Linked DNA regions of Xenopus tropicalis. The protein of the gene in region 1 purifies or fractionates together with the protein of each later gene. This does not show direct contact. Links are inferred from orthologs where the notes say so. Each region holds a gene or a part of one and is shown on either strand. Other genes may lie near its edges.

What was found.
Region 2: the proteins of fbxo21 (region 1) and cul1 purify together in Homo sapiens (affinity purification with mass spectrometry; 6 studies listed by BioGRID and IntAct, with this or other methods). This does not show direct contact. The link is inferred for Xenopus tropicalis from reciprocal best matches to the Homo sapiens genes FBXO21 and CUL1.

Annotation. Positions count from the first base shown.
Region 1 is NC_030677.2:164,846,302-164,862,619, reverse strand, and holds the start of fbxo21 (F-box only protein 21), read left to right. Parts: upstream 1-5,327; 5' UTR 5,328-5,351; coding exon 5,352-5,581; intron 5,582-9,068; coding exon 9,069-9,204; intron 9,205-10,202; coding exon 10,203-10,300; intron 10,301-10,770; coding exon 10,771-10,892; intron 10,893-11,399; coding exon 11,400-11,546; intron 11,547-12,535; coding exon 12,536-12,672; intron 12,673-14,447; coding exon 14,448-14,584; intron 14,585-16,318. UniProt on the Homo sapiens protein: Substrate-recognition component of the SCF (SKP1-CUL1-F-box protein)-type E3 ubiquitin ligase complex.
Region 2 is NC_030682.2:55,186,552-55,202,869, reverse strand, and holds part of cul1 (cullin-1), read left to right. Parts: intron 1-3,338; coding exon 3,339-3,513; intron 3,514-4,088; coding exon 4,089-4,256; intron 4,257-4,395; coding exon 4,396-4,446; intron 4,447-5,002; coding exon 5,003-5,093; intron 5,094-5,838; coding exon 5,839-6,002; intron 6,003-6,589; coding exon 6,590-6,752; intron 6,753-7,458; coding exon 7,459-7,589; intron 7,590-7,946; coding exon 7,947-8,054; intron 8,055-8,139; coding exon 8,140-8,246; intron 8,247-9,458; coding exon 9,459-9,507; intron 9,508-9,962; coding exon 9,963-10,094; intron 10,095-11,422; coding exon 11,423-11,540; intron 11,541-12,242; coding exon 12,243-12,319; intron 12,320-16,318. UniProt on the Homo sapiens protein: Core component of multiple cullin-RING-based SCF (SKP1-CUL1-F-box protein) E3 ubiquitin-protein ligase complexes, which mediate the ubiquitination of proteins involved in cell cycle progression, signal transduction and transcription.

The DNA.
Region 1 (16,318 bases):
GTCTATGTCCTGTAACCATACACATCTCTCTCTATATATATATAAATATATGTATGTAAGAAAGACATATATATGCAGATATCTACTTCATCTAAATATTGGATCCCACTTGTGTTGGATATAATCTCACTGCAGTGTTCTTGCTTGACGTCCAGCAGTGCATCTTGGAGCAAGACATGAAATGCAAAATGACCACAGAGTCCATTTACTGGTGCATGAATCTTCTCATTTTCCTCAGGCCTTGCTTGACATTCTCTGGACTGAGAGAGTCTGTTACTTTTACTCTATAGACTTGTAGATAGCACTGTTTGTTGAGCTGGATGTAAGGTGGAAACATTCATACCGTCTACAATCTCCATTTTTGTACCATGAGTTTTATTGTCCCACTACCATCTTTGATCATCCTCAATCATTGTTTTAAGGATAAGGCACACAAATGTAGCAACAGTTAGCTAATCAGTATAGAAGGAACCCCGACGAAGTGCAGCATGAAAGCATTTTACACTCCTGTTATGCAAGATTACTGGTTGTAGTCTACTAATACCAGGGTTTCCTGCTTCTTGGAAACCTGGTTGGATAAGCTAAAGCAGATTTTCTCGGACCTGCTTTATAAGAACAAATCATAATGACATATCAAATTATTTTTACTGAATCAAAGGAGGTTAAAGTTCAGTGTGTTAAGAGAAAAGAATGTCTGACTTTAAGGGCATACATTTCACCGTCTAGTCTGTACCTCACCCTTTCTGCATTAGAAATTCTGCAAACTACCTGCGCATCAAAAAGATCTTCCTGACTACGTACTTTTTGAAGAAATAGATAGGAGAGCATCACACAGCGGTTGGAAAAATGTTAGCGAAGTGTTGATAAATGTGCTCTTTAACCTCTGCCTTTAAATGCTGTGCATTTCATGCCATCTGAACCATAAGTGGACCTTATCTTTCTGCCTGAAAATTCTCAGTCCTAACTTAATGACATTTTTTTAGAACATGCGGGAAGCTAAATCACTGTGCTTATATGTTTTTTCTGTGCAGAAAAAAAGCTATCACTTCATTTCTATCTCTTTTAAATGTGGTGAGAGCAAGCATCTCAAAGATTTCCTGGAACCTTTAACAGTTTCCTTTTCAGTCCTGAACATTATTTTCCATATTCACTGAATTCTATAAGATTCTTAGGGAGGCCTTCTAGTGTGAGGAAATACTACTGGACCTCTAACAATGTGGGAGCCTGAAAAGCAATACCCAGTACTAGCATGAAGTCACAGGGGCCAAATACCCTTCTTGATCTAGGCCAAAAGGACCAGACAGGTAGCTAAACAGCCTAACAAAACTCAAACGACAAAGGTCAAAAAAGAGGATTCTGAATACACTACATGCAGATTCCATTCATTAGAAGGTTTGGTATATTACTCCTTCAGTTTGACTATAAGCATGCACCTCCCTGTGTATAGTCACAAGAGACCAGTGGTATGAATAAACAATGCATATGTCTGTTTGAAACCATTAAATAAATAAACTATGTAACTTCTTTGTGAAATGTGTATTCCTTAATTCTTTCTAATGATTTTTTTATGCAGTGTAACAAGCTTACTTGTTACTCTAAGACTGGAAATGAATATTGCTGCACAACAGTGTAAAATCATACACATAGCCCTTGCTTATATGAGTTATATTTTAGATCTGTGTTGTCCAAATTCTTTGGGGAAAACACAATGTAGTCTTATTGAAAATAAATGCCCTTATGTACATATATAAGACCACATTCCGTTTTTTAGGCCACACCTTGTATATTTTTTATTTCATTCCTTCTTGTTTCTGCTGTTCTCCCTTACTTCTCTACCTAACTTTTACACAGTCCTAGTATTTTCTTCAAATCCCTTTCATATTCCACACCCTTCTTCTCCATACCTGTTCCCATAACACTCTTAACTTGACACTTTTCTCTTACTTTTCTGTTTCACCCTCTTTCTTACCTACCATAAAAGGTATGACAACAGTTTAATTATTTTGTGACTTGACAAATCTATAAAAATCTACTTACAGACCAACCAAGGATATCACAATTACTAGATTGTGCATAGAAAACCTATAAAGCCAATGGGTAACTACATGCTAATTATTGCTCTTGCACAAATTAAAGTTAAAAATTAACTTTATTACATATCCATGAAAAACTAAATTGATCCTGTAGTTAGCCTCAGGCTGATGCCACACGTGGCTTTCTACGCTGTGTATTTTCTAATTCAGCGGCTGAAAAACGCCTGATATCATCATCCATAGAAATAACTTGAAAAGACTCTTAGCACGGATTTTTCAAGCGTTGGCTGAAATACGCCAGTATTTGCAAAGCAAGCTATTCCTATGTATACACAAAGGCAGCTGCCAGACCTAGCTGAAATACGCGGCGTTTTTTTACTATTTTGCACTATTAGCACCATGGAAAAGGGATTTGCTATGTCACCAGTACTAGGCTGAAAAACGCCATAGTCAGGGGCTGTGTGGCTTGTGCGGCGTTTTTAGGCTGAGAGAAAACGCAGTGTAAAAACGCCACATGTGGCATCAGCCTTACCCAGCAATGAATTATAGACTCCAAAGAAAACAAAATACAAATATCAGTATATATAGGCTCCAAAATCCATCACTGATTACATCATAAATCCTTTAGGTTTATGTTACCAAAACAGTTATATAATCAATGTATATTTTAGGATCATAATATAATCAATGCATGTTCCAGGGTCAATATTAAGCTGCCTTTTACATAGCTTATTTCATAAGTAAGCATTAAAACGTGTCAGGCTAACGGTACATGGTCAGTATAGTTTTTAATAGATATGTAATGAAGTGACTTTTTAACTTTAATTTGACAGATCTCTGGGTGTTTCCATTGTTTCTTCATATGAGTGTGTTTATATCTTAGCCATTCCACCAAGGCACTACCTGCCAGCAAAAAAATGCTAAGCATAGTGTGCTACGTCTGGCTGAACAGCTCTAATTTACAAAAAGACCCTGCCCACTGATAACCACTTATTGTAATGTGCACAGAAAACTTGCAGATGCCGTAGCTAGAGATTGCTGGGGAACCAAGTAAGTGGGCAGGCAGAAAACAAAACTGTTGAAATCAAGATCTAAATACAATCAAGAGGAGTAAAATAGGATTAATTAGCTCACAAGCGTAGGTTTGCTAAAACAAGCATCTCAACCGCATAGAAAAACACCCATGTGTGAAAGGGCCCTATTAACACAACTTTTATTAATTTCTTAATTTGAACATTTTAAAACAATACACAGAATACATTTAGAATCTTCTACTAAGTATGTAGTGTTCTTAATCCAAATAGTTTGGAACAAGGCAAGATAAAAACCTGTGTGTCAATTTTACTTCTTAAAGGTATACGGTCATGATTTTTATTTTAAATTACACTATTTATATAGTAAATAATTCACTCTACCATTTAAAATTTTATTCTTGACCCAACTAATGTTTTTTATAGCTATAATATTGGTGTGTAGGCGCTATCTCATTGCCTTGTGCCTGAGTCTGAGCTTTCAGAAGGAGCAACTCTGCACATTAGAACTGCTTTCAGGTAACCTATTGTTTCTCCTACTCCCATGTAACTGGAGGAGTCCCAAGCCTGACTTGGATTTCTTACTATTGGGTGCTATTCTGATATCTACCGAGAGCTGCTTTCTTGCTACCTTCTCATTGTTCTGCTGATCGAGGGGGTGATATCACTCCAACTTGCAGCGCAGCAGTAAAGTGTGGCTGATGTTTATCAGAGCACAGGTCACATGGCGGTGGCACCCTGGCAAATGAAGAATATGGCTAGCCCTATGTGACATTTGAAAATTAACTATAAAAAAAATCTGTGTTTTTGAAAAACAGATTTCAATACAAGATTCTGCTGGAAAAGCTCTAATAACCGATGTGTTTTTAAAAAAAAAAACATGTTTTTCCACGATAGTGTTCCTTTAAAATTTAATAACTTTGTTTGTTATACTTTGACATATATTCAGCTTCTTTTTAATAAAACTATTTTTTGGGTATCCCTGCCTACAGAATAAAATACTTCAATTGTTGTGTCTGCATGTATTTATATATTTATACACACACTGTATACAAACATTCCAAATATCTCCTTTCCCTGTCTACCAGCCCACAAACCCTCTGTCTGATTTGGCAGCTAGCACTGGTGCAGGGAGGTGGGCCTATGGGTTCAAAATAATAAATAATGCTGCTGCTCCAGCCTTTTGAGTCTTTGACCCAAACCATACAACACTGCTACAGTAGCTATAGGTGAAGAGGTCTCTGTCACGTTAGAGGGGGGCTGGGGGTGAGGTAGTATTGCTGTAATGATGCCCTCTCTTTATTTTACCAATTCGTTACACTGTGGCTTAATAGCAGGGTGATAGCCTCAGGTCTATTCTACCAAGTAAACAAGTTTTATTGACGACAAATTGCTTCATCTCACCTAAATGTATGCAGTGCTGCTCTAATGAATTTAACTGGACCTTTGAGACTTTTTGCAAGCCAATGATTTATGACTTAGTGATGAGCAACCAAAAACAGTGACGTTACCCTCTATAGTTATACAAAACCCTCTTAACAGAGCTTTCAAATTTCAGCTCAATTTTCCGCAGAGTAGATTAGTGATGTGCGCCTCAAAATCTTAACCCGCACCCAAAACTAACCTGAAAAATGTTGCCATTGTAGGACCCACACCCAACCCGTATTCGTGTCTTTTCACTCTGTACACTACTTGTGCAAGCCCCTTAGGTTTCAAGCCAGGGAAACTTTGGAAGCAGAGGAAGAGTGTACTTCCCCAGTCTGACCCACACCAAACCCAAACTCACAATGGTGGACTAGCCAGGGAAGTCCACTGGCAAAGGGTTCCTAAACTGAAAAAATAGAAAAATAGAGATGGAACAAAAAAATAAAGGGATCGACAGAATAAAGGCACAAGGAAGAAAGAGAAGGAGGTTTAAATCAGTAGGACAAAGGAGAAGGCTGGGCTGGGTTAAATAAATTCTGGAAAAACTTTAGCCTGCCCTTCCTAGCTTTAGCTTTCTCTTTATAAATAACATTGCGATGAAAAATAATTCTATTACAATAAATTAGGAAAGAGGGCAACAGAAGCCATTAATAGTACTGTATGGTTTTGGTTGTCAGGGCCCAAATAACCTAATAAAAATCTTATTTTTACAGGAAAATGTGTAAATATACAGATGCACAGATGTATAGCTCCCATTGATTTCAAAGAAGCCAAGCTTCAGCCCAATTACTGCGCAGCCGCCGTGGCGTCATTACTGAGCGCCTGCGCACGTCAAATACGTCAAACATGTAAACAAGGCAAAATGGCAGCTTCCTTAACGATAGCCGGATCAAGCAGCACTGAAGACTTTTCAGCAGATGATACACTGTCCCCACCTGGCATAGCTCAGCTTCCCTGTGAGATCGTGGAACACATACTGTGCAGCGGCAGCCTCGGCCATGAGGATATCGTTAGTATGAGCTGTACGTGCCGGCGGCTAAGGGATGCGTGTGCTGGGCGGGGGAAAGTCTGGAGGCGACAGCTGTTTGACAGGTGAATAACAGGCCACCAAATTCCACGACAGACCCTTTATGCATTCTGTTTGCACATTTCACTTACTGCTCACGATGATTTCCATATCTTGTGACCTGAATGCCATTTCCTTTGCTCTTTCTATTCTGTATATGAAGACTGATAGGCTGCTAATCTTTATTGCGCTTTAACACAGTCCTCCTTGTACTTACAAAGTTACTCTGTATGGCAGTGTGAGACCCTGTATGTGAGGAACCATTTGTGCTAGGTTATGTGACAATTATTTAATGGAATGGAGGGGTTGATACCAAATATGCTACACTGAACCATTGGAGTTGCCCATGGCAACCACTCCCTGTTGGACTGGCCCACAGGATACCAGGAAAAGTTCCGGTGGGCCCAGGTGTCAGTGGGCCCTCATGCTCACCCAACCGTTTGCCTCGTATGCCTCTACCATGGCCATTACTCAATTCTATATGTGGCACCCCAGAGTCCGATACTACACCCACTCTTCTAACATGTAGTCTGCTTAAGTGTAACTGCACATTGAACAGGTGTGTATGATAATGTACATAACCCATATGTAGGGTTGCCACCTGGTCAGTAAAAATTATGCTGGATTTCAATGTTATTTATAGGGAAAAAAGGTAAGTATATAGGAAGGCCAGTGTTTTTTTCACAAAAGGTGCTGCTTGGCCAGTAATGGTGATACCTGACATCAATGTTACAAACAGGGAAGAAAGGTAACAGATATGAAAGTAGGTGTGATAGAACAGCAAGGTGGGTCAGGATTATTGTTAATATCCAGCTCTTACATAATTAATTTGGGTTGACCACTATTGCATATATATATATATATATATATATATATAATATATTATAGTTCATAGGAGAGGCACTCACAATAAAGGATACATACAGTATATATATATATATATATATCACGATAAAGGATATATATATATATATATATACAGTGGTGTGAAAAACTATTTGCCCCCTTCCTGATTTCTTATTCTTTTGCATGTTTGTCACACAAAATGTTTCTGATCATCAAACACATTTAACTATTAGTCAAAGATAACACAAGTAAACACAAAATGCAGTTTTTAAATGAGGGTTTTTATTATTTAGGGAGAAAAAAATCCAAACCTACATGGCCCTGTGTGAAAAAGTAATTGCCCCCTGAACCTAATAACTGGTTGGGCCACCCTTAGCAGCAATAACTGCAATCAAGCGTTTGCAATAACTTGCAACGAGACTTTTACAGCGCTCTGGAGGAATTTTGGCCCACTCATCTTTGCAGAATTGTTGTAATTCAGCTTTATTTGAGGGTTTTCTAGCATGAACCGCCTTTTTAAGGTCATGCCACAACATCTCAATAGGATTCAGGTCAGGACTTTGACTAGGCCACTCCAAAGTCTTCATTTTGTTTTTCTTCAGCCATTCAGAGGTGGATTTGCTGGTGTGTTTTGGGTCATTGTCCTGCTGCAGCACCCAAGATCGCTTCAGCTTGAGTTGACGAACAGATGGCCGGACATTCTCCTTCAGGATTTTTTGGTAGACAGTAGAATTCATGGTTCCATCTATCACAGCAAGCCTTCCAGGTCCTGAAGCAGCAAAACAACCCCAGACCATCACACTACCACCACCATATTTTACTGTTGGTATGATGTTCTTTTTCTGAAATGCTGTGTTACTTTTACGCCAGATGTAACGGGACACGCACCTTCCAAAAAGTGCAACTTTTGTCTCGTCGGTCCACAAGGTATTTTCCCAAAAGTCTTGGCAATCATTGAGATGTTTTTTAGCAAAATTGAGACGAGCCTTAATGTTCTTTTTGCTTAAAAGTGGTTTGCGCCTTGGAAATCTGCCATGCAGGCCGTTTTTGCCCAGTCTCTTTCTTATGGTGGAGTCTTGAACACTGACCTTAATTGAGGCAAGTGAGGCCTGCAGTTCTTTAGATGTTGTCCTGGGTTCTTTTGTGGCCTCTTGGATGAGTTGTCTCTGCGCTCTTGGGGTAATTTTGGCCGGCCGGCCACTCCTGGGAAGGTTCACCACTGTTCCATGTTTTTGCCATTTGTGGATAATGGCTCTCACTGTGGTTCGCTGGAGTCCCAAAGCTTTAGAAATGGCTTTATAACCTTTACCAGACTGATAGATCTCAATTACTTTTGTTCTCATTTGTTCCTGAATTTCTTTGGATCTTGGCATGATGTCTAGCTTTTGAGGTGCTTTTAGTCTACTTCTCTGTGTCAGGTAGCTCCTATTTAAGTGATTTCTTGTTTGAAACAGGTGTGGCAGTAATCAGGCCTGGGGGTGACTACAGAAATTGATATTGAAATTGAAAATTGAAATTGATAAACCACAGTTAAGTTATTTTTTAACTAGGGGGGCAATCACTTTTTCACACAGGGCCATGTAGATTTGGAGTTTTCTTTCTCCCTTAATAACGTAAACCTTCATTTAAAAACTGCATTTTGTGTTCAATTATGTTATCTTTGACTAAAAGTTAACGCTTTTTGATGAGCAGAAACATTTAAGTGTGACAAACATGCAAAAGAATAAGAAATCAGGAAGGGGGCAAATAGTTTTTCACACCACTGTATATATATATATTCCTTATTACCCTCTCTAACAGCTTTCCTTCAACTTCAACCTTTTCCTTCAAACTAACAGGCCTATAGTAGGCTAAAGCTGGCCATTTATGCACCAATATAATCACAGGAAAGTCTGTTTTGTATGATTAGTCAAATGGACAGGTTCGAACATTTTGGTCAGATAACGATAAAATTTGCACATGTACTGTATATGTGACGATATCCTTGGGGGACCCACAATGCATTTCTGGGATGTCATTTTCATACGATTGTTGTCTGTCAATTATTTTATGTTCAGAACATTCTCTGATTTGTTTTTTCAGTACTTAATCCTACAATTTCGATCTGAATTTTAGGGTTAGGGTTTAATTAGGGTTTATTAAAGGAGACCTGTCATCTTAAAAATTCTAATCCTTTTTTCTCATGTTAGTTAAGCAAAATAAACTTAACTTACATAACATAAATCATATTAATTTTGTATCCCTCAGTCTTGCAAATATACAATCACAGCAAACAGGTAGCTACCATTTTGTAAACCCTGTTATTAAGACAAGCTTTGCAACATCCGACAATCTTGCTTATGCTCCACAGTCTGGCACCTGATTCCTTTGACCAAATGCAATGGCATCTAGGAAGTGCTAAATGGAAAGTACCTGCCTGTTCCCAGATTTTGGGTTTCATGTTTAATTTGTAAAGGACTTTTTATACAGGTTTATATGTGGGTGACAGGTCCCCTTTAATATATAGTGCCCATGGGTTGTGCTGTATGGTGCTTTTTTCCTCCTGCCAATGACAATGGATGGATAATTTAACCCTTCATAATGCATGATTATTTTAAATGCCTTTCAGTAAGTACCAAGATGTCTAAGGACTGTGACTGCAGAGAAATGATTGTTTCCTTTGTGTAGATGGCCATCTTTAAAGAAGTATTACAGTCCCTTGGATTCTTTGGACTGGAAGGAAGAGTACAAAACTCGACATAATGCGGGGATAGCAACACACGCAACTGTGGCATCCTTCACTAAGCAGCTTGTTGTAGAGCATGTAAGTCATGTTTTAGGCATTTTTGCATAACATTTGGCATTTTCATATGTAATCTTTTCCATTTATCTTTCTCCTATTACATTTTATTATTTTGTTTTTTAATTGTGTTCCCCTTGCTTAAATGACAAGGAATGGCTAAGTATAATAAGGAGTTCAGGGAAAGGCATACCTCATGAGTGTAGTGAGTGTAGTAATTTCACTGAAGCCCCTGTTTAAAAGATCTTTAGCTTAGCTTACTTCCCAAAAGCTGGAAGAATAGAACGAGTGCTACCCAGAAGTCACGAGACGCGTGCGCAATAGCTATTATTGACTATGACGATTTTCATTCATCCAGGTTATGGTATATCTAGTATAAATAAATCTAAAATCAATGATTACTTAACAAGTCCAGTTGCTTTATTTATACTAGATAATAGCTATTATTCCGGTTCAGCACATGCACACATTGTTAGTATCGTGAGCGCACTTTTGTCCCCTTCAACCAGCTCTATCTCTGGAACAAGCACAGGAAAGTTTGCACATGAGCAGATGAAAGTGAAGGATGCACATGGTGATGCGATCCTGGTAAAGATGAACCTTCTAATAGAGCGAATATATACACAGAGTGATTATTCCCTTTACAGACAGTTTTTCTGACCACATCCTATTTTTTGCAATTCAGTTAGCCCATTTACTGTGTCATAATCTCTTAACAAGACGCCAAAAAAGAGTGTACAGTATACCAGCCAGAGGAGTACTCTGATGCCTTGGGGCTGTGGCCATAGAGGTAAATATCTATAGAAAAGACAAATACTGCACATTTTCATAGCCAGGAACTGCCAAAACAGTATGCCAATATCCCTCTGAGTGAGGCATAATTTGCATTTTCAGGTATAATGACCATGTAAGTTTTGGGTTATATTATGTGTTGGTATATATTATTAGGAATGCATACATTAAACTAGGAGCAGTTGGTATTCATGTATTTCATGCTTTAGATGTTTGTCTCTCTATCACAGCGCATTCCATGTGAAAGTTATAATGATCTGGATAGTCTTGGATATCCTGCACATTTTGTTGAGGATGAGTTATTAGCCATCGTGAATAGTGAAAACAGGTACAGTAAAACTTGTTTTTTTGCTTCTAGTTTTGAATTCAAAGCAAAATATGTACAGCAGGGGGTTGCTTACAATGCAATATCCCAGTACATTAATTTATTTAGGACTGGGCTGGAGATTTAGAATTCAGTCCTTGCTCTGAGACCCAAAGACAATGAGGTGTATGTAGAAAAACAATAATTTCACAGCCCAAAGTATTTAAAAATGCAAAATAATATTCTCCCAGGAACCGAGGTATAGGCATGCACAGTGTATGGCATCTGAAGCCTGCAAAATCTTGTGGCCTGCAAATGAAATAATGCAAATGCTAAATTCCTTTCAGAGAGCTTAGTTACTGGCATTGCTAGAGGTCCATTTGCCAAAGAAAGAATAGAAAAATATGATGTATCCCTGCATAGGATAATTACTGTCCTGTGCCTCTACTTACCTCAGAAAACTTAGTTTGAGTCTTTTAATGTTTTACTGACAGAAAATGTTTGTCGCTGAAATACTGCGCAAAGAAGCTCCTGTATTTTATGCGCCAGGAAGCAACAATGTGCAGACTGAAAGACTTCCTTCAGCAACCTGTAGAGCATCAGGACATTTTAGAAGGTAATAATGTCTCTTGCTGATGCAAGCCTCTTTTAGTACTAAAGCATTCTTACAGGGGAGTTCTGTAGTCATATTCTTTGTCCTATGATTTAAACAAAATGGTGACAGCTGTCAGAGCTGTCCACAGATTTCACAATTGTCTGCTTATTGACTTTTGCCTTAATATGGGTGTACTGGGCCCCTCAGCTTCTGTAGACTTCCTTGGTGAGCAGTGTCCTCTAAGCACTGTTTACATTTTTGTTTTTAATTGAGGCAATTAACAGAAATCATTTTCACCATTAGATTCATTTATTGGGTTTGTGTTAAATTTAGGGCTATAACGTCCTTTGATTTCCTGTGGTATTGCAGCAACTTAGTACATGTATGTGCTAATATACTTGGTATGTATTTTGGGTTGTTTCTGTTGTTGGTTTTTTTATGTTTTTTTTTTTTTGCAGTATTATAGAACAGTGCTTGTCCTTGTGTGAGTATTTATTTGTATGTTTGGCTTTTGATTCTCTGTCACAGGTGCTGTCCTGATTGACCAATACTGTAACCCACTGGAAGATGTGTGTCTTGAGAAAATTCAGGCACAGATAGAAAGTATACTAATCAAAGTTAAAGCTACTTTAAGTGCAAGAAATACCAGACATCCCAGCTTGTCTTTGCAGGCAGGTATGCACAGACTGTCTTTATTTCATACTAATATTGCTGTCTGTTTTCTGACTCTAGAGGAATCTCTGCAGAATCTATTGTGCAGCAAGGTTATGAGACATCTGAAAAGTTATTTTGCAGTGTGGGGGATATTGGGGAACAGTATAAGTGGCAACAATAAATGTGCAGAATTGTCTGCATTCTATTAGTAATGTATCAATATTTAGTAATATATTTTTGTTATACAATTTAAGACTTTCATACAGTAATCCAAAACATTTTCTGTTGTAGTCTCTCTAACCAGAAGGTGGCACTGTTTGGCTTTCCTCTCAATATCAAGCTCCGATACTGTTGGCTTGAATTTAGTAAACTGCATTTGCACAGAAAAATGTTTTTTTTTTTTTTTACTTTTTATTTCTACTTTATACAGACAGTAAATAGGTAGAAATAATTGACATTGAAATGAGGCTTAAAATGTGTTCCATTATTTTCAATAATGATATTTACTACTACTATTTTCTTTCACTAATAACATTTACTATCCTGCTATTTGTGAAAAAGACTTATTAGGCTTCCACTATACTATAACTATAGCTATATATATAGTAAAAAGGGAAAGTTATGCTCACCACTAAATTTTAAACCATTAGCTGGGGGTGCAATAAGGTTATGGCCACAAAATTCATACAGACAAAGACAAAAGATCCTCTACACTCACCCATAATCAATATATCAATATAATAAGGACATTAAGTGCAGGGAGTGCAAACCATGCTTTGTTTAAAGTGGAGGGTATTTTTTAGTAGCTTAATGTACAAAATGTTTTAGTTTCCTAAATATATTGATTATGGGTAAGTGCAGAGGGCCTCTTGCCTTTCCACGATAACAAAAACTTTTGACACTACTACTTTTGGCAGTTCCACTTTGGCCTACTTTAGGCAAATACATTATAGATCCTGAGATCACCTGAATTTTGTCTAAGAATTTAATATCATTAAATTACTGTGCAGGTGGAATGTGTTATATTGAAGATGTGGATTTGCAGCAACAGGCTCTGGATTCTCTCAACCATGTCCTCTTTGTTGAACAAATGTTCAAGGGCAATGTGGCGGATTTCTATAATCCACTGAATTCCTACATCCACCAGGTATTTGGAAAATGGTTTAACATCTTTGACCGTGTAAGCAAATGCAGACCAGCATGCATGGAAAGCAAATGCAGGTATTTCAGCTTTCAGATATAAATATATATCATATAAACCTCTCTAAATAATACAGAGGAGCTTTAAAAGAAAATAAGGAGTTCATTAGTTTTAAGGTTTCACAGACATATGTAGTACTGGTGTCTTGCCACAATATGCAACATATTCTAACATATTTGTCAGTTCTAGCAGTAGGGCTTATGGAGCATTCATTATACAAAAATAGATTATGGAAAAAGAGGGTTCTCCTAAGTACAATGTAAAAGGGATAAGGGGAACATGAGATAGGTGGATATAGCTTTTGGCTGAGGTTTATGTATTCTCACAATTAGAGGAGAAGATAGCAAGCTAGGATAAGTAAAACTTGGTTTCCATAAATAGTACTTTTTAAGGAATTACTTTTAAATGTTAATATATGTAATATAACTGCAGTAACATTAAAGGTGTGCAAATAAAATAAAGAGTGGCAGCTTCCAGTATTATTAAGTATTTGCCCCAAATGTCTCCCAAATTGTTATTCAGGCTTAGCACCTTGTCCATTGCTTTGTGGCCCCTTAGGGGGAGGCAGTTTGGGGACAATATTTCAATGTCAACAGAGATTGTAATAAATTAAATTAAAGCTGTACGAGCTTAGTTTAACAACACAAACACTGTCACTCATGCACTTTTTCTACGGGTCAATGGCAAACCAGTTGAAGGGAAACAATGCCCTCCCCTGTTTTTGAGATAAACTCAGTTGAGCTTATATAGAAAAGGTGCATAAACACTATCCGAACTTTCAAAAATAAATGTAAATCTAATTTTTACATAGACATACCCTATTCCACAGATTAATATGAAACCATGATGGTCTGTCTCTGTGCTATTTGGGACCAGTTTCCCACCCTCTTAGGCTCACAGTGTAAAGCAACCCCTCCCTCATCTTGTTCTCTTGTGAAGTGATGGATTTTAGGATTCATATTCTCTCTGCTTTCTATAGTGTGTGGTGAATTGGGGGTGGCTGCCACCATGTTGGGCTGTCCTTTCCTATATTCCCCTTTTTGCCAAACAGATATGATATTTCCAGGTTTGGTGAGAATGGCTTTGGAGGGAACATATACTGTATAAATAGCTGTCTTTAAAATAAATAGCTTTCCTTATGTACTTTATGTTCTCAGGTATTGTAATAGCTAAGAACATAATATATTATCTAGTGCAGATAAGATGTTGTGCCCCTTATTGTATAAATAATATGTTACTCAAATTCATCATTTTCTCTTGACTCATTGAACTCAGCATAATTTTTTTTTTTGTATGGCAGTTCTGCCTGATTTTAGTCAGTAATGTACCTTTGGATTAAGTGACTATCTTTGTCTTTGCTCTTTAGGGCTCTGGTACACAGGGAGATTAGTTGTCCACGACAAATCTCCCTTGTTGCGGGCGACTAATCTCCCCGATATGACTTCACACCTGCGAAAATGCGAAATCGCCGGCGGGATGGCATACGTGGTGGCGCAATTTACATTTTCGCCAGTGGGATGTAATATCAGGGAGATTAGTCGCCCGCAACAAGGGAAATTTGTCACGGGCAACTAATCTCCCCATCTACCAGAGCCCTTAGGCTTGTTGTGGCTTCCTGGGGAATAATGTTACTCTTTGTATTTATGTTGTTTTTATAATGATCCTCAGCCTGTTATTTCCCAGGTGTTGCATGTGACCTTATTTTTTGTTTCTTTGCTAAGGTTCTTATCACCAAGACTGGTATACCAATCAGCCTCTCCGTATTGTATTTAACCCTTGCTAGTCACCTGGGGGTGGAGCTTGAGCCTGTCAATTTCCCCCATCATTTCATGCTCAGATGGTGCCAAGGTCCTCCTGGGTAAGAAAACCTTTAGCATCATTTTATTACACATTTTGTAAATAAATATTAATGTATCTGCACACTCAGACTTAATGACAGTTTTCTTTTATCAAACCCAGTTATTGGTTACAATATTATAGCCTGACTTTAATATTGTCATTAATAAGTTATTACTTAATTATCAGTAATTATATATATTTTATTTATACTTATACAAACAATATAGTTATTCACATTTTTTTTATAATGGTTATGTTGCAAATAGGGTTCAGCATTTCCCAAATAAAATGAGCAAGCTACAGAATGACCTAAAGGCAAATCAGTCATGTATTTCAAAACTTAATAGTGGGGGTCAGATGCCTCTGTAAAATATAGTAAAAATGTTCTCTTGGGCCTAATAGTGATAATAGCCACATTAGCTGATGCTGTTAAACACTGTATATACAACTGAGCTCCCCATGGACAAGTGCTTCTGTTAGAACAGATGGAAATATATCATGGTCTAACTTAAGTTTATTGGTGGTTAGGGCCTAATAATTACTATAACAAGTAAGTCCTTATTGTAATTGTATTAGAGCAGTGATCCCCAACCTGGGGTTCAGGGGCAACATGTTGCTCACCAACCCCTTGGATGTTACTCTCAGTGCCCCAAAACCAGGTAGTTATTTTTAAATTCCTGCCTTGGGGGCAAGATTTGGTTGAATAAAAACAAGATTTACTACCAAATAAAGCCTCCTGTAAGCTGATAGTGTGCATAGAGGCTGCCTAATAGCCAATCTTAGCCCTTATTTGGCACCTCCATCAACTTTTATAATGCTTGTGTTGCTCTCCAAAGGGTTGATTCACTAACGTGCGATAAGCTTTATCATATGCTTTTTTTGCGTTAAAATTGACGCAAAAAAACACGCGGTTCGCTAAAGTATTATGACGTGCATTAAGTCGCATATCGCATGCGCTAAATAACACATGATCGCAAGGCGTTATTTTCAGGGCTGTGGAGTCGGTAGATAAATTCTCCAACTCCGACTCCTCAGTTTCTGATACTTCCGACTCCGACTCCACGACTCCGACTCCTCTGTTTTTAATATGCCAATGTATTTTATACATCCAGGAAGGGAAAGGGGCACTTAAAACACAACTGAACTGATAATAAACTGATAGACAGTTTTATCTATACTCCTACTCCTAATGATTTCCCTAGAATCCCATAGTCATGTTTAAAGTTTAAGCTAACATTACAGCTGAATTACAGCAGTTTTTCAAATGTTTTAAAGCTTCAGTCTTAAAGGAACAGTAACACCAAAAAATAAAAGAGCTTTAAAGTAATGAAAATATAATGCACTGTTGCCCTGCACAGGTAAAACTGGTGTGTTTGCTACAGTAAAACTATAATGTATATAATAAGCTGCTGTGTAGCCACGGGGGCAGCCATTCAAGCTGGAAAAAAGGCACAGGTTACTTAGCAGATAACAGATAAGTTCTGTAGAATACAGTAGTGTTTTATCTGTTATCTGCTATGTGCCTGTGCCTTTTCTCCTTTGAATGGCTGCCCCCATGGCTACACAGCAGCTTACTTATATACATTATATATTATATTATTATATATTATATATACTTATATAAACTATAGTAGGGTTTCTGTAGCAAACACCCCAGCTGTACCAGTGCAGGAATGGCTGCCTCCGAGGCTACACAGTGGGGTATTTATATAAACTATAGTAGGGTTTCTGCAGCAAACACCCCAGCTGTACC
Region 2 (16,318 bases), on another chromosome or scaffold:
ATGTAATCTAAAAAGGCTGAAGTGGGTCGATGTCTAACATAATAGCCAGAACACTTCTTCCTGCTTTAAGCTAAAGTCAGTGACTTTAGGGGCGGTCACTGATTGGTTATTGACTACTAACAGCTTAGAGAGCTGTAAAGGTGAAAGTAATGTTCTGGCTATTATGTTGGACATCTGCCCGCTCTAGCCTTTGTAGATTACATTTTTGGCTAACTAACTACATTGAAAACATGAAAACATTTGGGCAGTCCTTTTACCCAGTTTCAATTGTACACTGAACAATTCCTTTAAGGAATATAAAAACCCTTAAAGAATTGAATGCAAAATTGCTCAGGCTGCTCTAAGAATGTTTTTTGTTTGTTTGTTACACTGCTTATTAACTTCTAATACAGGTATAGGACCTGTTATCCAAAATTCTCAGGGCCTGGGGTTTTCTGGATAAGGGGTCTTTTTGACATTTGGCGCTCCATACCTTAAGTTTACTGAAAAATAATTGAATCAAATCCAGTAGGCTTGTTTTGCCTCCAATAAGGAATAATTATATCTAAGTTGGGATCAAGGTCTTGTTTTATTATTACAGAGAAAAATAATATACAAAAAATAGACTCAACTCGAAGCAAATGATTCTATGGGAGATGGACTTCCTGGATATTGGATCCTATACCTGTATTAAGAATTTTGTAACAGTTCCACCTGCTGGTCAGTTCTGATGTTGCTCTGCTCAGGAAAGAGATCAGAAACCATGTCCTCCTTGTGGGTAGCAACATCAGAACAGTTCTGTGTTTTCTTTCCTGTAACATATTCTCTTCAATTATACAGTCATAAGAACTGACCAGCGAGGTTGTTACAAATTCATTATATTTGCAATTTATAAACAGCATAATAGCTTAGAAACAAAATAAAAAAAACAATACATTAAATGTAAATTACAAGAGTGCTTAGAGCCCTGGGCAATTTTAAATTCATTATTTTTTTGTGACTGCTCTAGTCCCTACCCCACCCCCCTTTCCAAAAGGGCTAGCCTCACATTAGGCAATCTCTGATTTAGATGAAAACATTGGATGGTATCAAACTTAGGTATCCGGTGACATTTAATATGTAGTAAATTTAAGTTTCTTAAAACAAAGACGTGGAAAATAAACAGTATTATAGTCTGCTCAAATTCCATCCAAAGATTGTGTTTAGAGACATCTTTGAAAAGAAGCATTTACAAAATATACCTCCCATTCCATATCCGGCACACTGATGCCAGCCCCACACGTGCATCACTCCTGTGTACATCTCTTTATTTGTACACGTACACGTATGGGACCTGTTATCCAGAATACTAGGGACCTGGAGTTTTCCGGATAAGGGATCTTTCCATAATTTGGATCTCCATACCATAAGTCTGCTAAAAATCATTTAAATATTGAATAAACCCCATAGGATTGTTTTGCATCCAATAAGGAAGGAGAAAAAGGAAATCATTTTTAAAAATTTGAATTATTTGCTTATAATGGAATCTATGAGAGATGGTCTTTCCGTAATGTGGAACTTTCTGGATAACGGGTTTCCAAATACAGGATCCTATACCTGTACTAAAATGCCTTAGAAAAATACATTTCAGTTTAGGAATGGACAAAGCTCTAAATACATTTTCAAGGTCCCGTATTAGGGATAGGAAGCAGTAAGGACTCAGAAATGCAGTTTTTGGAAGACATAATATGTAAGGTGATTGTTTATGAGCAGGTACTTTGTTTTTGTTGTTTATTTTTATCTGGTAAGAACCATGGGCAAAGGTTTAGGTGATATGCTTTCTCATTGCTTGAATTTATCAAGCTCTAATTGTTAGCCTTTGGTATTTAACAATCTTGTGAGGGGGTGTTGGGTGGTATTGGACAAAGTATTTCATTTAAGAATCCCTAAAGCAGTGCACAGGCAATGTACTTAAAAACAAGCTGTAAATCTTTTAATCTGGCTGCCATCCATGTATTATTCATAGTAGATGTTAAATATTTCTACCCTGAGCAGCTGTGCAGACATAAATATCCCAGTTTGAATGATGATACTGGATTTGCACTACAGAATAAGTTTTAAGTAAGATGTGAGCAGATTTGGAAAGTGTCCCCTGCATATTGTCATTTATACTGGAAGTTGTCTGCTGGGGCTCTTTTTTCTTGTAAATAGCTTTCCTGTTGTGTAAAGATTGGGAGACATTTCTGACATTTCTTTTTGACACCATATTCTGACCTAAAAGGAACTCTTCATCTTTTTAACTTGTTGGGATTTTTCTCTTTTGAATAGATCAAAATTGTGGTTTCCTTTAAAATGTTATGTAGGAGAATTTCCTTGGGGCATGGTGGGAACACATTGTATTGTCTCATAATTGAAATGTAAATTTTGCATAGCTGGATGTGTTTTACACATCTTAAATTCCCTGAATTTTGTAGCGCAAAAGTATGTTAACTCACTTATTCACCAGAAGTCTTAATACTTGCCTGCCATGTTAACTGGGTTAAAAGGGAGTGGAGAGAGAGAAATGCAGGACTATTTAATTTAAGGACTCTGTCATAACCTATTAAAAAAAATTTGTTATTTTTATGTTTTTACTTGCATTGCAATATATAAATAGCCATAGAAAGAGCAGATAAATCTACCCACATCAATCTAACGCCTAGAAACCCTGCATTAGGGCTCCATTAAGGGCCCATGTTTTTGCAAATTGCCGGTAACTGCTTTTTGATGTGCCTGCACCTAGAGCCACTGCATAAGCCTGGGGCAGGCTCACAGAGCAGATTTTGGCAAAATAACTCGTACTATAGCATTTCCTTGCTGAAATCTGCTCTGTGTGTCTGCACCCAGGCCGATGCAGTGGCTCTAGGTGCAGGCACATCAGAAAGCTGTAAAGCTGGCCATACACGCACCGATAATATCGTACGAAACCCCGTTTTGTACGATATTCGGCATGGGTATGGCAAGTCGGCGAGACGACTGATATCGCAGGAGGCTGCTGATATCGGTCGACGCGCCGATCGGCCAGGTTAAAAGATTTTGATCGGGCGCCATAGAAGGCGCCTGATCAAAATCTGCCTTCAGGGCTGAACCGGCAGAAGGAGGTAGAAATCCTATTGTTTCTACCTCCTTATCTGCTGTTTCAGCCCTGAAGGTTAGTGGCGGATTTGACGATCTTTCGTGCGACCGATGGCCACATTAAGGAGCAATGGAGCAGTTTTTTGGCCTGCATTTATGCGCAGGCCAAGAATCTGCCTGATTTGGCACCAGCCTTTTTGGATTTATGAAATGTTTGTAGTTGTCAGGGTTGCACCTTCTGTGTGTTCCTTAATATACTCTTTCAGACATGTTTATAACTACTGCACCAGTGTACACCAATCTAACCAAGCACGGGGGGCTGGAGTGCCGCCATCAAAATCTAAGAAAGGACAGACTCCTGGAGGTGCCCAGTTTGTTGGTTTGGAGCTCTACAAAAGACTAAAGGAGTTCTTAAAGAATTACTTGACAAATCTCCTAAAGGTAAGTTTTTGTTAAATTGAATCTCTGAGGGAATGCAATATGAACAACATGTTTCTAATACTTCATAAAATAAATGGATTTATGTTTCATATGCTGTATACAGACATAATTGTGCATTCTTCATTTTATCGTATCTGATTTATTTTTATTGTAGGGCCACAGTATATCATTAATACTGTGTAAAAAAAACAAACCAAAAAAACTACCTGCATAACTCATTGGCACTACTACTATAGGGGAGCACAGGTTTAAATCATGCTGCAGAGCAGTGTAGGTAACCTACTACCAGCTGCAGCCTACCAGTTGTCATGAGCTTAATTTTCCTGCAGCAGGATATCTGCTGCCATTTGTATTCCAAGCATATTTTGTGATATTAGGAGTACAGAATGCTATCAAAATACATTGTTTTGGTTCACAGGTCTTTAATATCTTCCATACTAGACAGGTTTAATGCATCCAAACTTGTTGCTAAAGCTGCTTGCAAGATGACTTTTATATTTTTATTTGTAATTATTACTGCATAGAAGGCAACTAAAATTGTTTGGGAATATGGTATATTAATATGTACTCCCCAGGATGGAGAAGATTTGATGGATGAGAGCGTACTGAAGTTTTACACACAGCAATGGGAAGATTACAGGTTTTCAAGTAAAGTGCTGAATGGAATCTGCGCATACCTCAACCGGCACTGGGTTCGCCGTGAGTGTGATGAAGGCCGCAAAGGAATATATGAAATATATTCTGTAAGTTGGATAACATTTGCTTACATTAGTAAACCCATTTCAACAGATTGCTTGATAAGAGAACCTATAACTGACTATTTTTCTTAACAGTGGGTGATTACATCGTTAATAGGTCTTTGTTTGTGTTCCTTTCTCCTAGCTGGCCTTAGTGACATGGAGGGATTGTCTGTTTAAGCCTTTGAATAAGCAGGTAAATATCAATACCTTGTTATACAGTCAAACTTATTGTTATTTGTGACATTTACATGATCGTTATTCTTGTAGCTGTGCTATTATGCAGTTCATCAAAGAGGCACTGTGTAAACTGAACCTTAAATTATGGCATGGTTGAAAATCAAAACAATTTTTCCCTGTGCTTCCCCTCTCCAAATACAACTGGCTTTAATATAAATTTTTTACTGTTTCTCTTACCATTTACCACAGCAAGTTGTAAGTTATGCTGTGTTCAGTAATCATCTGACAATGTATACTGCAGATGTCCCTCCTGTTGGCCCTCACTGTGCTAGCCCTAGTGTTGAGCATTGACAGTGCTTCATGCTCACAGCATACCTGAGGTGCCCATTCTCATCTTCAGTAGTGATCTGTAATTGTTGATGCTGCATTTCCAAGTTGGTAGACGGGATGTTTTTTTTGTTTTCTTCCATTCCGCTCATATTTTTTTAAATCACACCTCCACATACATACATATAACAAAAAGTTGGTAATTGTGAAGTAAATTTGTGACACTATTTGGTCTGTTTCAAAAGGTAACAAATGCTGTGCTGAAACTGATTGAAAAGGAACGAAATGGTGAAACAATAAACACCAGGCTTATAAGTGGAGTGGTGCAATCTTATGGTAAGTTAATTTTAATATGTATCCCTGCATCTGCTAATGCATAACTAATCTTTACAACATCACACTCAGAATTACACAGAGATATGGATACAGTATTAGATGTTAGGCAAGTGCTGTGAGGTTTTTCTTCTGATGATCTGTGTTCTGACTGTTTGATTTGATTGCCATCATCCTTGCATTATATATTATATATATATATATATATATATATATATATATAAATAACACTGAGAGGAGCACTCAAATATAATAAAGTGTCTGCCTGGGTGCAAATAAAATTAATAATAAAAATAGAAAGCTTTATACATAACAGGACTTGTGCAAAAAATCAAAACAACAATTAAATCACTATTTGATTTTCAGTTAAATGAGCCTAAATTAATAACACTTGATTAGTGATTTTTTTGGGAGGAAATTTCTTCGTTAAATCTGTTTAATGTTGTGTGCAGAGCCATATTTATAGGCGCCCGAGAGCCCCATTCGCAGCAGGGGATGGCCTACGGATGCCCCAAGGTTTGGGGGTGTGTGAATTAGGTCCAATGCCTAGGGTGGCACTAGACCTAAATATAGCTGGTTATGTAAATACAACTGTTAATGTGTCTGTGCTAGAAAAGGTTAATGCTTAGTCCACTTTGGTTCACGTAAAATAGATGGGTTCTCGTAATAAAAGGCACCATGCCAGCCAATGTAAAAAAATAAATTGAAAAAAAATCACAAAGCAGTAAAAATATGTTTTTCTTTCAAGTTGAGCTTGGCTTGAATGAAGATGATGCATTTGCCAAAGGCCCAACACTGACTGTTTATAAAGAGTCCTTTGAGTCTCAGTTTTTGGCAGACACAGAACGGTTTTATACAAGAGAGAGCACAGAGTTTTTACAGCAGAACCCTGTCACAGAATATATGAAAAAGGTAGGTCTGCTTTCTTTTGAAAATCTGCTATACTGTTACCAGGGTGAGGTAACCTGGTTCCAAAGAAGCAAGTATTGTTACTAATGCTAGATGTTAGGCAGCCATTTGCCAATGCTTCTGTTACACACACATTATAGGGCTTGATAGCTCTGTCTCTTCAGTGACTGTATAGGAGAAGCACAGCGAATGGTGCAAACATTTTTAGAATTGTAATTCTTTCATATATGGTGAGCAATGATTGCTTCATTCGCATTTTCAAGATTATTCTTTCTCTCTGCATTTCCCTTTATATAATAGTTGGTGTAATAATGTTAATTTTTAGGGGGGGGGGAGGTAAAACTGATAATGCTCCACACACCGCAACACACCACATCAGTTTGTATGAAATACAAACTGAAGTGACAGTTAGTGGCACCTTCTAATTGTGCAAAGTGATACATATTCACAGAAGTAATGCTTAGTGAATAGAATACCTATTCTGTCTAAGAAAAGAAAAGTCTGCATATTAGAAGAGTTTATGCACCCTGCTGTGTAATAACATTGTTCTGTGTGTGCCTAAGGCTTATTATTGCTTTTGTCTTTTTTAGGCAGAAGCTCGGCTTTTGGAGGAGCAGCGCAGAGTACAAGTATACTTACATGAGAGCACACAGGATGAACTAGCACGGAAATGTGAACAAGTCCTAATTGAAAAACATCTAGAGATTTTCCACACTGAATTTCAGAATTTACTAGATGCTGATAAAAATGAAGGTAATTATCTAACACGGGCCACTATGCTCCAAAATGAATACATTTCTACATGGGCCGCGAGCTATTACAAACAATAGCTAATTTCTGTGTAATGCTGGGAGTTGTGTACATGCACAGTTGTTGGCTATTGGGCCAGTAGCTTCTATGAATTTCTTGAATTCCTATTGGTTTATCAAAATAGATTGCCAGCCTGTATACCAATGTTAACCTTCTTACACTGTTAGAGCAAAATTAAGGTGGCCATACACGATACAATTGCGATCCTATGATATTGGTCATAGGAAAGATCGTTTGTCCACTTTACTAAAAAAACAAAAAAAAACTTAAACTTAAAAACAAAATAATTCTTTATCCCTATCTGATGATTCATTATTAACATTACAATGTTCGGGCAACTTCAAAAGCACCATCAAAAATTTCAGTACTGTCCGATCAACGAGACAACCAATATACAAAGTTATTACCGATATCAGTCGCCTTGTCTCCCACCGTGCACGCACCAGTTATCATCCGAAACTTAGTTTTGTGCAATATCTGCATGTATGGCCACCTTTAGGCAGGATATTTCCAGTTTGCCTAAATGTCATCTTTATTGCCTTGCTATAAATAACAAGTTGTTTTACTAGACAAACAAATGCAAATAACACTTCTAGTACTTTTATATTAGTAGCTAGCCGGTGAAGCCTTGTGTACTTTTGTCTTACAGACCTGGGCCGTATGTACAATCTTGTTTCCCGAATCCAGGATGGTCTGGGAGAGCTGAAAAAGCTTTTAGAAACTCATATTCACAATCAGGGACTTGCTGCCATAGAAAAATGTGGAGAAGCTGCACAAAATGTAGGTTATTAATTATGTATTTTCATTTTTGAATTTGCCTGTTCTATTGCATTCTTTACAAACAGCGTTGTTGTAGTCAGTAAACAAAACACTTACATGGTTTTGAGGAATAAATAGATATATCAGAAAATGCATGCTTTGTGCAGTATATGATTCCAATAAAATATTTTTCTAGTTAGTATTTTTTTTAGTATTATGCTGTGTCAGAATTTTTTTAATGAATTGTTCTTTGGTCTAGGCTCCTTTGCATTAAGTTGTAATATCAAATAATACTGTTAATTTAATAAGAAATTCCTTAAAAGAGTACATTAGGAATAAATTCTTGACCATACCTTATGACTTCATACCTTTCTTCAGGATCCTAAAATGTATGTACAGACTGTTTTGGATGTTCACAAGAAATACAATGCCTTAGTCATGTCAGCATTCAACAATGATGCTGGATTTGTGGCTGCACTAGATAAGGTAAGTACTTTTCTATCCAAAACCTTCGTTGTAACAATTTCAGGGCATTTTCTTTTAATACTCTACTTTTTATGGTAAATCGTAGGCTTGTGGTCGGTTTATAAATAACAATGCTGTGACAAAAATGGCTCAGTCTTCTAGCAAGTCACCAGAGTTGCTTGCCCGGTATTGTGACTCTCTCTTGAAGAAGAGGTAAGCAGAATTAGCTTGCTTGTTAGTAGGAGTTTTATGTACTCTCTTAATTGGTTGGAATATCCATTAGTTAATCTCACTGATGCCCTGCCAGTATTAGATGTTCTGCTTTTCAAACAGTGTTGTAGGTTTGCCACTTCTACCATATAAACAACAAGGATCCACTGAAGAGCCAAACTGTATAGTGTAGTTTTATCTCAGTGTGAGATGCATTGTGTTACGTGTTTCGGATCCCATGAGTCCTTTCAAATAGCACCAGTAGAAGTACCCATGAGGTCAGAAACACGTAGTGCTAGACATCTCTAAAGTTAAAGCTATACTATATTGTTTGGCTTTCCGTCTGATGAGGTTTAACAGGACTTTGTTCCACATTTAAAGTAGGTGAGGTTATGCACATTTTTAAGTGAGGTTATAGTAAAAGAATGTTGAGAGCTGCTATATTTATACATGCTTGGTTTATGTTTTAACCCTTCACAACAGCTGAGATTTTATACTGCTTGTTATAATTACCTATAATTAAGTGCTGGATAAGCATGAAATGCATTAGACTATCCATATGGGGTTGTCAGTGATTTAATGGATTAAAATAAACAATATTTTTAAGTAGTAAAACAACTCTTTTGTAGTTTCAAGTAAAATTTTGGTGTTCCTATTGAAACACATCGTGTTGTACAATTAAACTTCAGCAATGAAAACAAGGCACCACCTTGCTTCACATATTTGTTTGTTAATTAAGCCAAGTTCTGAGACAAAGCAATAATCTCTTAGGGTTCACAGCATTTCAGCATAAATCCACGTGTAGTTCCGACCTACACATTCAATTGCATGACTTCAATAGAGGCTACGGAACAGCTATGTAAAAGTTTTAATCAAGTGCACTAAAAGCTATTTAGCCTAGGGCCAATATTATCAGCCATCCAGCAGTCACCTAAATTTTATCTGCTATGTGTGGCTAATCCAAGTGCCCATAAGCATCACTTAAAATCCAGAAATGTAATAAGATGTTTCTGTTGCTCTCACCAGTCTGGTTCCTCCGTTTTTATAGACAGCTTCACTTTAATTTAGCCTACAGAAGAGTAAGTTAGGATCCAGTGTAAATTAATTATAGCCCTAATTACTTTTCCAAGGACAAATCTTCTCCCACTACCGCAATTGAAGGTACTTTATTTTTTTGTGCAATGTTATCTAATAAACACTTCTTTTGATTTTAAGTTCCAAGAATCCAGAAGAAGCAGAGTTGGAGGATACCCTTAACCAAGTGGTAAGCAGAAAATGTAGCTGTCATGGACTTTATTGAATCACTCGTCTTCCTCTCCAGAACGGAAGTCAAAAGAGCAAGACACAATTTTAATGCACTATTTTACTTGCTGATTTATTCCAAACCAATTTCCAACCTTATAGATGCCTGCATTGTTTGACTGAACAGGAAGCAGGGGGTATATAAGGCTGTTGGTAAAGGCTGTTTTGGTCCTTTGTTAGCTATTGACACCTAAGTTTGGGAATAGTGTGGCCAGGCAAAGTAAGTTAGTTAAGATACAAGACACCTTGATTTTTAAGAAGAAAATTTAAATGTAATGAGTAATTCTACATAGATATGCTGTGCTGTCGGTTATAATATATAGATATAGATAAACAAAAAAAAAATTATGAAAAATATATTAACATTTAATTAACGTGTATCCTAAATGCATATCTATTTTGAAATTGTTATTTTAGATGGTGGTCTTTAAATACATAGAAGACAAGGATGTGTTTCAGAAGTTCTATGCAAAAATGCTTGCAAAGCGATTGGTTCATCAAAACAGTGCCAGTGATGATGCTGAAGCAAGTATGATATCAAAACTTAAGGTAAGATTTCCCCACATGTAAGCTCTCACATTAGTTATAGTGAGAGCTTGTTAAGTTGTACAAAGGGAACACAGAGCATGAGGTATACCCTTTAAAAGGTGGTGGGTGCTTTTCATTCCTCTTGTTATGATTGCTTTGTGAAATCATCCATTTTCCTTGTCATAATTTGTAGCAGAATTTTGTGCAGGATCTGTTCTAACTAATGCAGAATCATGGAAAAAAATTTGCATTGAGACACAAACATCATCACATCAAATCACGTGCACACGTGCAATCTCTTTTATGTTTCAAATGTCTTTTCCAGATGTCTTGGGGAGTCTTATTCAGGGGTAAAAATATTAGGTAGCCACACAATTATTGCTTTTCAAATCAATGCTTTGGATGGCAGAACAGGTCCCATGGGGTCCAGCATGTAGCAGCCTATGATTGGCACCAGATAAATGTGCACTGTAATGATGAGCATTTGCTGTGAGGTTGTTCGAGACATATCCAGTGGGTTGGCAAGCGCCATGTTGTTGAAGTAGCTGTGTTATTGAAGGTTATAATCAGGTAGAGTTTGCAATATATTGCAGTTCTTTCACATTCTTGTAGGAAATTATTTTGTTCATTTATCTGGAGTGACTTAAAGGGATCTACAACTTTCCAATATACATTATTTAAACATTTCAGTGGGTTAAAAGTTAGTTATGATTGTCATTTTAATTTAAAGCAGTATTTGTTCATTATTTTCTGCTCTCTGGTTCTGACTCTTAAGGGCTCTGGCACACGGGGGAGATTAGTCGCCCGCGATAAAACTCCCTGTTCGCGGGCGACTAATCTCCCCCGTGTGCCAGAGCCCTTAAACAGAGTATGGGAAGTCTGTTCTCCAGGTCTGATAATCATTGGCATTGCTACACTACATTGTGTCAAGAGTCAGCAATAGACAAGGACAACTACTATTAAATAGCAGTTACAGTAATGAATAACTAAACCACTATGTCTTAATTAATGTATATTAGGAAGTTGCTTTTTACTTATTTTTTTGAGAAAAAAATAATTGGGGGTGATAGGTAGGATACCTTTAACATGATCTAACCATATTGGCTTGCCTTTAAATCTAAAATGCCATAATGCAAGCAAACAAATCCCTTTTATAAAGCTTTTGAGCTGCCTGTGGAAGTCGTCATCTCATATAAACATCATACTTTGTAATTTATAATGCTACTGCAGCAGAATATACAGTCAAGAGGAAGTACATTCTGTTCCCTCCCCAAATATTTATAAAAATACTTTTAACTTGTGTTCCAAATGAGTGTATGACCCTTTTTGTCTGCATTTTTTTTCTGCAGCAAGCCTGTGGGTTTGAGTATACATCAAAGCTTCAGAGAATGTTTCAAGATATAGGTGTGAGCAAAGACCTTAATGAGCAGTTCAAAAAGCACTTGACTAATTCTGAGCCTTTAGACTGTAAGTACTAAGCATCAGTAAATGATATTGCATACTTGTATGGAAAACATTTAAGTTTTATCACTATTTTATAACCACCAGTGATTGTAATAGAATCAAAATGCAACATACCACCTATATATATATATATATATATAATATAATATAGCAATCAATACAGGATTATGCTGCAGACTTGTATTAACAGTTGTGTTCAGTGTCAGAGAGAGAAGAGGGGCACACATTTGTTTCTTACTGTGCCAAATGCAATGTACTTCCATTACATTCTTTGTTTTACTGATTTTAGAGACGCTTCCTAGTGCACATACTTCTGTACTTTTTAACTGTAGCTATTTGAAATCATTGATATCATTAATAATTTTAGTGAGCAACCCAACAAGAACTGTTAGTGAAAATGCTTACATATTGATACCCAAAAATCTCTTTATTTACCAAATTTGCAGTCCTTCCTAGACTCTGTTGGTGATAAATAAGAAGAAAAAAAATTGTGTTGGAAGACTAATTGCATACTATGACTAGTTTAACATTTTCCCAGTTGCTTCTGGCCCTGTTTTAGAGGCTATCACATGCTGTTGCTTTGGACGTGCCAAAACACATTTTAAGGAAAAGTAAGAGTCTTAGGATAGAGTCAGGTATGTCACTCTTGTGCTTTACAGTCCATGAAACATAAGTGTATCTTACAACATGTCTTTCTCTCTGCAGTGGACTTCAGCATACAGGTTCTCAGCTCTGGGTCATGGCCCTTCCAACAGTTCTGTACATTTGCTTTACCTTCAGAGGTAAGCTCAGTCACATCATTACTTATCTTAAAGCAAATGTGTGTGAACTAAATGAATATGCATGTGTTTAGTATGATGCCTACAAAGTGTTCTTAAATATAGTTATATGGCATTTAAATGCCTTAGCACATCCAGCATTCACGTGCACTAAGATTACATAGCACAGATTGTAATGCTGCATTAATTTTTGTGTTTGTGGGAAAAAAGAGAGGAAACTGTTCCCCCATGGTTATTCCTGATAATGGTAACAGCTGCAAAGTGCTTGTTTATATACATGCTAAGGCAGTGCTGTCCAACTTCTTTGGTACCAATGGATGGAATTTTTCCGGCCTACATGGTGGAGGGCCGATAATGGAAGCCAGTTTTGACCACTCCCCCCTTTTAAACCACACTTGTGTTATCACATGACCATACCCATATTAAAGGTAGTAGTACAGCAAAAACCTGCCATACTCATGCCTGTCCTACCCTGCCTGTGTGTGCCGTGCTCTACCCGCCCTATGCTGCCTCTGTACCATACTCTGCCTGCCCTCTGCTACCTGTGTGTGACATACTCTGCCTGCCTGTGTGCCATACTCTCTCTGCCCTACCCTGCCTGTGTGTACCATACTCTACCTGCCCTATGCTTCCTGTGTGTGTCCTACTCTTGTCAGTATGGCACACACAGGCAGCATAGGGCAGGCAGAGTATGGCACACAGGCAACATATGGCAGGTAGAGTATGGCATGCGCAGGCAGCATAGGCCAGGCAGAGTATGGCGCGCACACAGGCAGCATAGGGTAGGCAGAGTATGGCACATGGGCAGCATATGGCAGGTAGAGTATGGCACACAGGCTGCATAGGGCAGGCAGAGCATGGCGCACACACAGACAGCATAGGTCAGGCAGAGTATGGCACAGGGGGCATACAGTGACACAATGCTGGCACTACTCCTACAGTCTGCACAATAACTATATATTAAAAGACTTTTTAATTGCAGTACCATCTCAGTATATGTTCTTTTTATAGTGTGAAGGGATTATTTGTAGATTTCTACTGCTCCTACAGGTCTGAGGTGTGAATAGGTGAACAATGTGGGTCTTACAGTCTGAGCCTAAGGTATGAACAATGCAGAGGGTAAACAATGTAGGAATTAAAAGGTGTGAACACTACAGGGGATTACATATTTAAACAATACAGGGGGTTTACAGCCTGAATCTGAGGTGTGAACCATGCAGGGGGCCAGTTATTCACAGTCATTTAAATCTTACCCAAAGGTAAATCATCAAACCAGCCAGACAAGTGGGGGGCCAAACAGAGGGGGGTCGCGGGCCACCAGGTGGACAGCACTAACAAACCATGAAATCTTACTCTATCCATAATTTCCTTTAAACACCAGCAAGAAAGTTAGTAATTAGCATAGTACTTTTATTAAATTGAGTTTAAAATAAATCAAGTTACTTATTTCATAAACACCAAATAGTTACTACCCACTTGCCCACCTGCAGTTACTGGACCTGCTCACTCCTTGTGACAAGATCCTCATAGTGACTGTAGTCAGGTAACTATTTCTTCTTAGAGTCTAAAATCCCCAGCAGCTAGTAATCATTTATGTCTTCTGCTGAGTAAGCCGGTTTTGTCATTAGGGGAGGATGTCATTATGGGATGCATTATTTATAGGAACCCTTTTGTAACCCTTACACTATACGACCAAAAGGTGGTGCAATATGCTAAGAAAACAGATTCCATTAATGCAATAAGTTACATCTTTCAACCAACAGAGGGTGCCACCATGCTAGAATTTCAACATAATACAAGTTACAGCTTGCAACCAACAGATGGCGATACTATACTAGAGCCGCATTGCATTAAGAATTAAATCAAAAAGTAACTCAATCCAACACATGGTACAACCAAACTAAGAATTATTTATAATAATATATCAGTAAATCTTGATTACTTAACAAGTCCAGTTGCTTTAGATTTATTTATACTAGATATACCATGACCTGGATGGCATAATGTAACAGTAACTGCTGCTGAATTAGTCCAGAAGGACAGTCAGCAACTTTTATCATGGTATGTATTGCCATCTTTAGGCAAATTATCCAGAAAGGCTATATATCTATATTTTTGTTTTAAATATGCCAGTGCAGTAGGGTTAAGTTGTTCCTCTCTGGAGGCAGGACAAACTGAAAATTCTTTCTCCAATCCCTTTCCTACTTGTGTCTCCACCTCTTGCCCCAGTTTTTTTCAGTTTGTCCGGCCTTCACCTCTCTCTTATTTTACTTAGCATTTAATTTTTCATTTATCTCCTTTCCTTTGCATGGACATAATGACAGAGAGACCTATATTATTACATCAGGTCCAGTTGATTGCTCAGAAGACACCTCATGAGCTTCCTTCCTCCTGCAAAACCATGGTAGAGCCACCCTGCATGTGCTCCCACTGGTTTATCTTTGCTGATCTAGCTTAATGGTAGAGCCTCTGTCTCTGTGTAATTATCACCGTTTCTTGGTGAAACTCTCACAGGCACACGCAATGACATCAGGTGCCCTGCAGTAACTTGGTGCTGAAGTTGAGTGTGTCTTTCCACCAGATATGTGTGTTCCCAAGCGCCCACTTCCTGGGCTGACGTTTTTCCTCCTTACTTGCTCCTATTAGGCGCCACAGCACACTAGGTGACTACACTAGGACTGCCTTTTTTTTACTGTATCAAGGAACACTTACCGTATATACTCGAGTATAAGCCGAGTTTTCCAGCACTCAAAATGTGCTAAAAAAGGAATCCTCGGCTTATACTCGAGTCAAGTAGGGGCACTGATGGATTACCTGTCCTGTTCGGCGAATCCATTGCCGAACATGGACGCATCGCGCTCCCCCCCTCCCAGCCAAGTAGGGGCACTGCTGGATTACCTGTCGGGCGATTCCGTTGCCGAGCATGATGGACACATTGCGCCCCCCCCCCCCCCCCCCCCAGCCAAGTACAGGCACTGATGGATTACCTGTCGGCGAATCTGTTGCAGAGCATGGACGCATCGCGCCCCGCCCCCAAGCCAAGTACAGGCACTGCTGGATTACCTGTCGGCGAATCTGTTGCAGAGCATGGACGAATCGCCCCCGCGTCGCCCGAGCGCACACGTCGCACGCCAGTCGCGGGGGGTTTGCGCGCGGCGTCCATGCTGCCCAACGGATTCGCCCGACAGGTAATCCAGCAGTGCCTGTACTTGGCTTGGGGGCGGGGCGCGATGCGTCCATGCTCTGCAACAGATTCGCCCGACAGGTAATCCAGCAGTGCCTTAGTGCAAGTTAGTACTGTGTAATTCTGATCAAAGGGCATTACATTTAACAAAAGACAAAGCAATTCTTGCATACATCCCACTTCATAGAATACTTCTATAATGACTTCTGTCTAAATATCAAATCTTTTTAGTATGTAGATAAGATTCACTGGCATCTCTCTCCGTTTGCATTATAGACTTTAAGATGCTCAAACAGTATGGCTAAGGACAGGTTACATTACAGGCTTTACAGTTTATGCAGTTACACACTGCTTCTTTGGGAAGCAATGGGCTTATTATATGTCTGCTTAAATATTTGTATGTTGGCCTGACCTGCAAAAATCAACAATAAATATTCTACTGCATCTGTGCAGAGGGCTGCTAGCTGCTGCAATAGAAAACATGTCCCTGTGTGTGCTTTACTGCAGTAGGAATGGGACCCCTAAATGTATGCACATGTATCTCCTTATTCTGGTGCATGCTCGGCAACGGATTTGCATGCTGTGGTTAACTTATGTTGGATGCGCCTCATTTTCCAGCCCACACCTTGTGTTTATTAATATGGTAGTTGGCTAAGCACTTGTGAGTGTCCTTTTATTAAATAATTTGATTATTGAAACTTAGCAGTAGCGGCTGCATTTCCCACCCTAGGCTTATACTCGAGTCAATAAGTTTTTCCAGTTTTCTTAGGTAAAATTAGGTACCTCGGCTTATACTCGAGTATATACGGTACTTACAA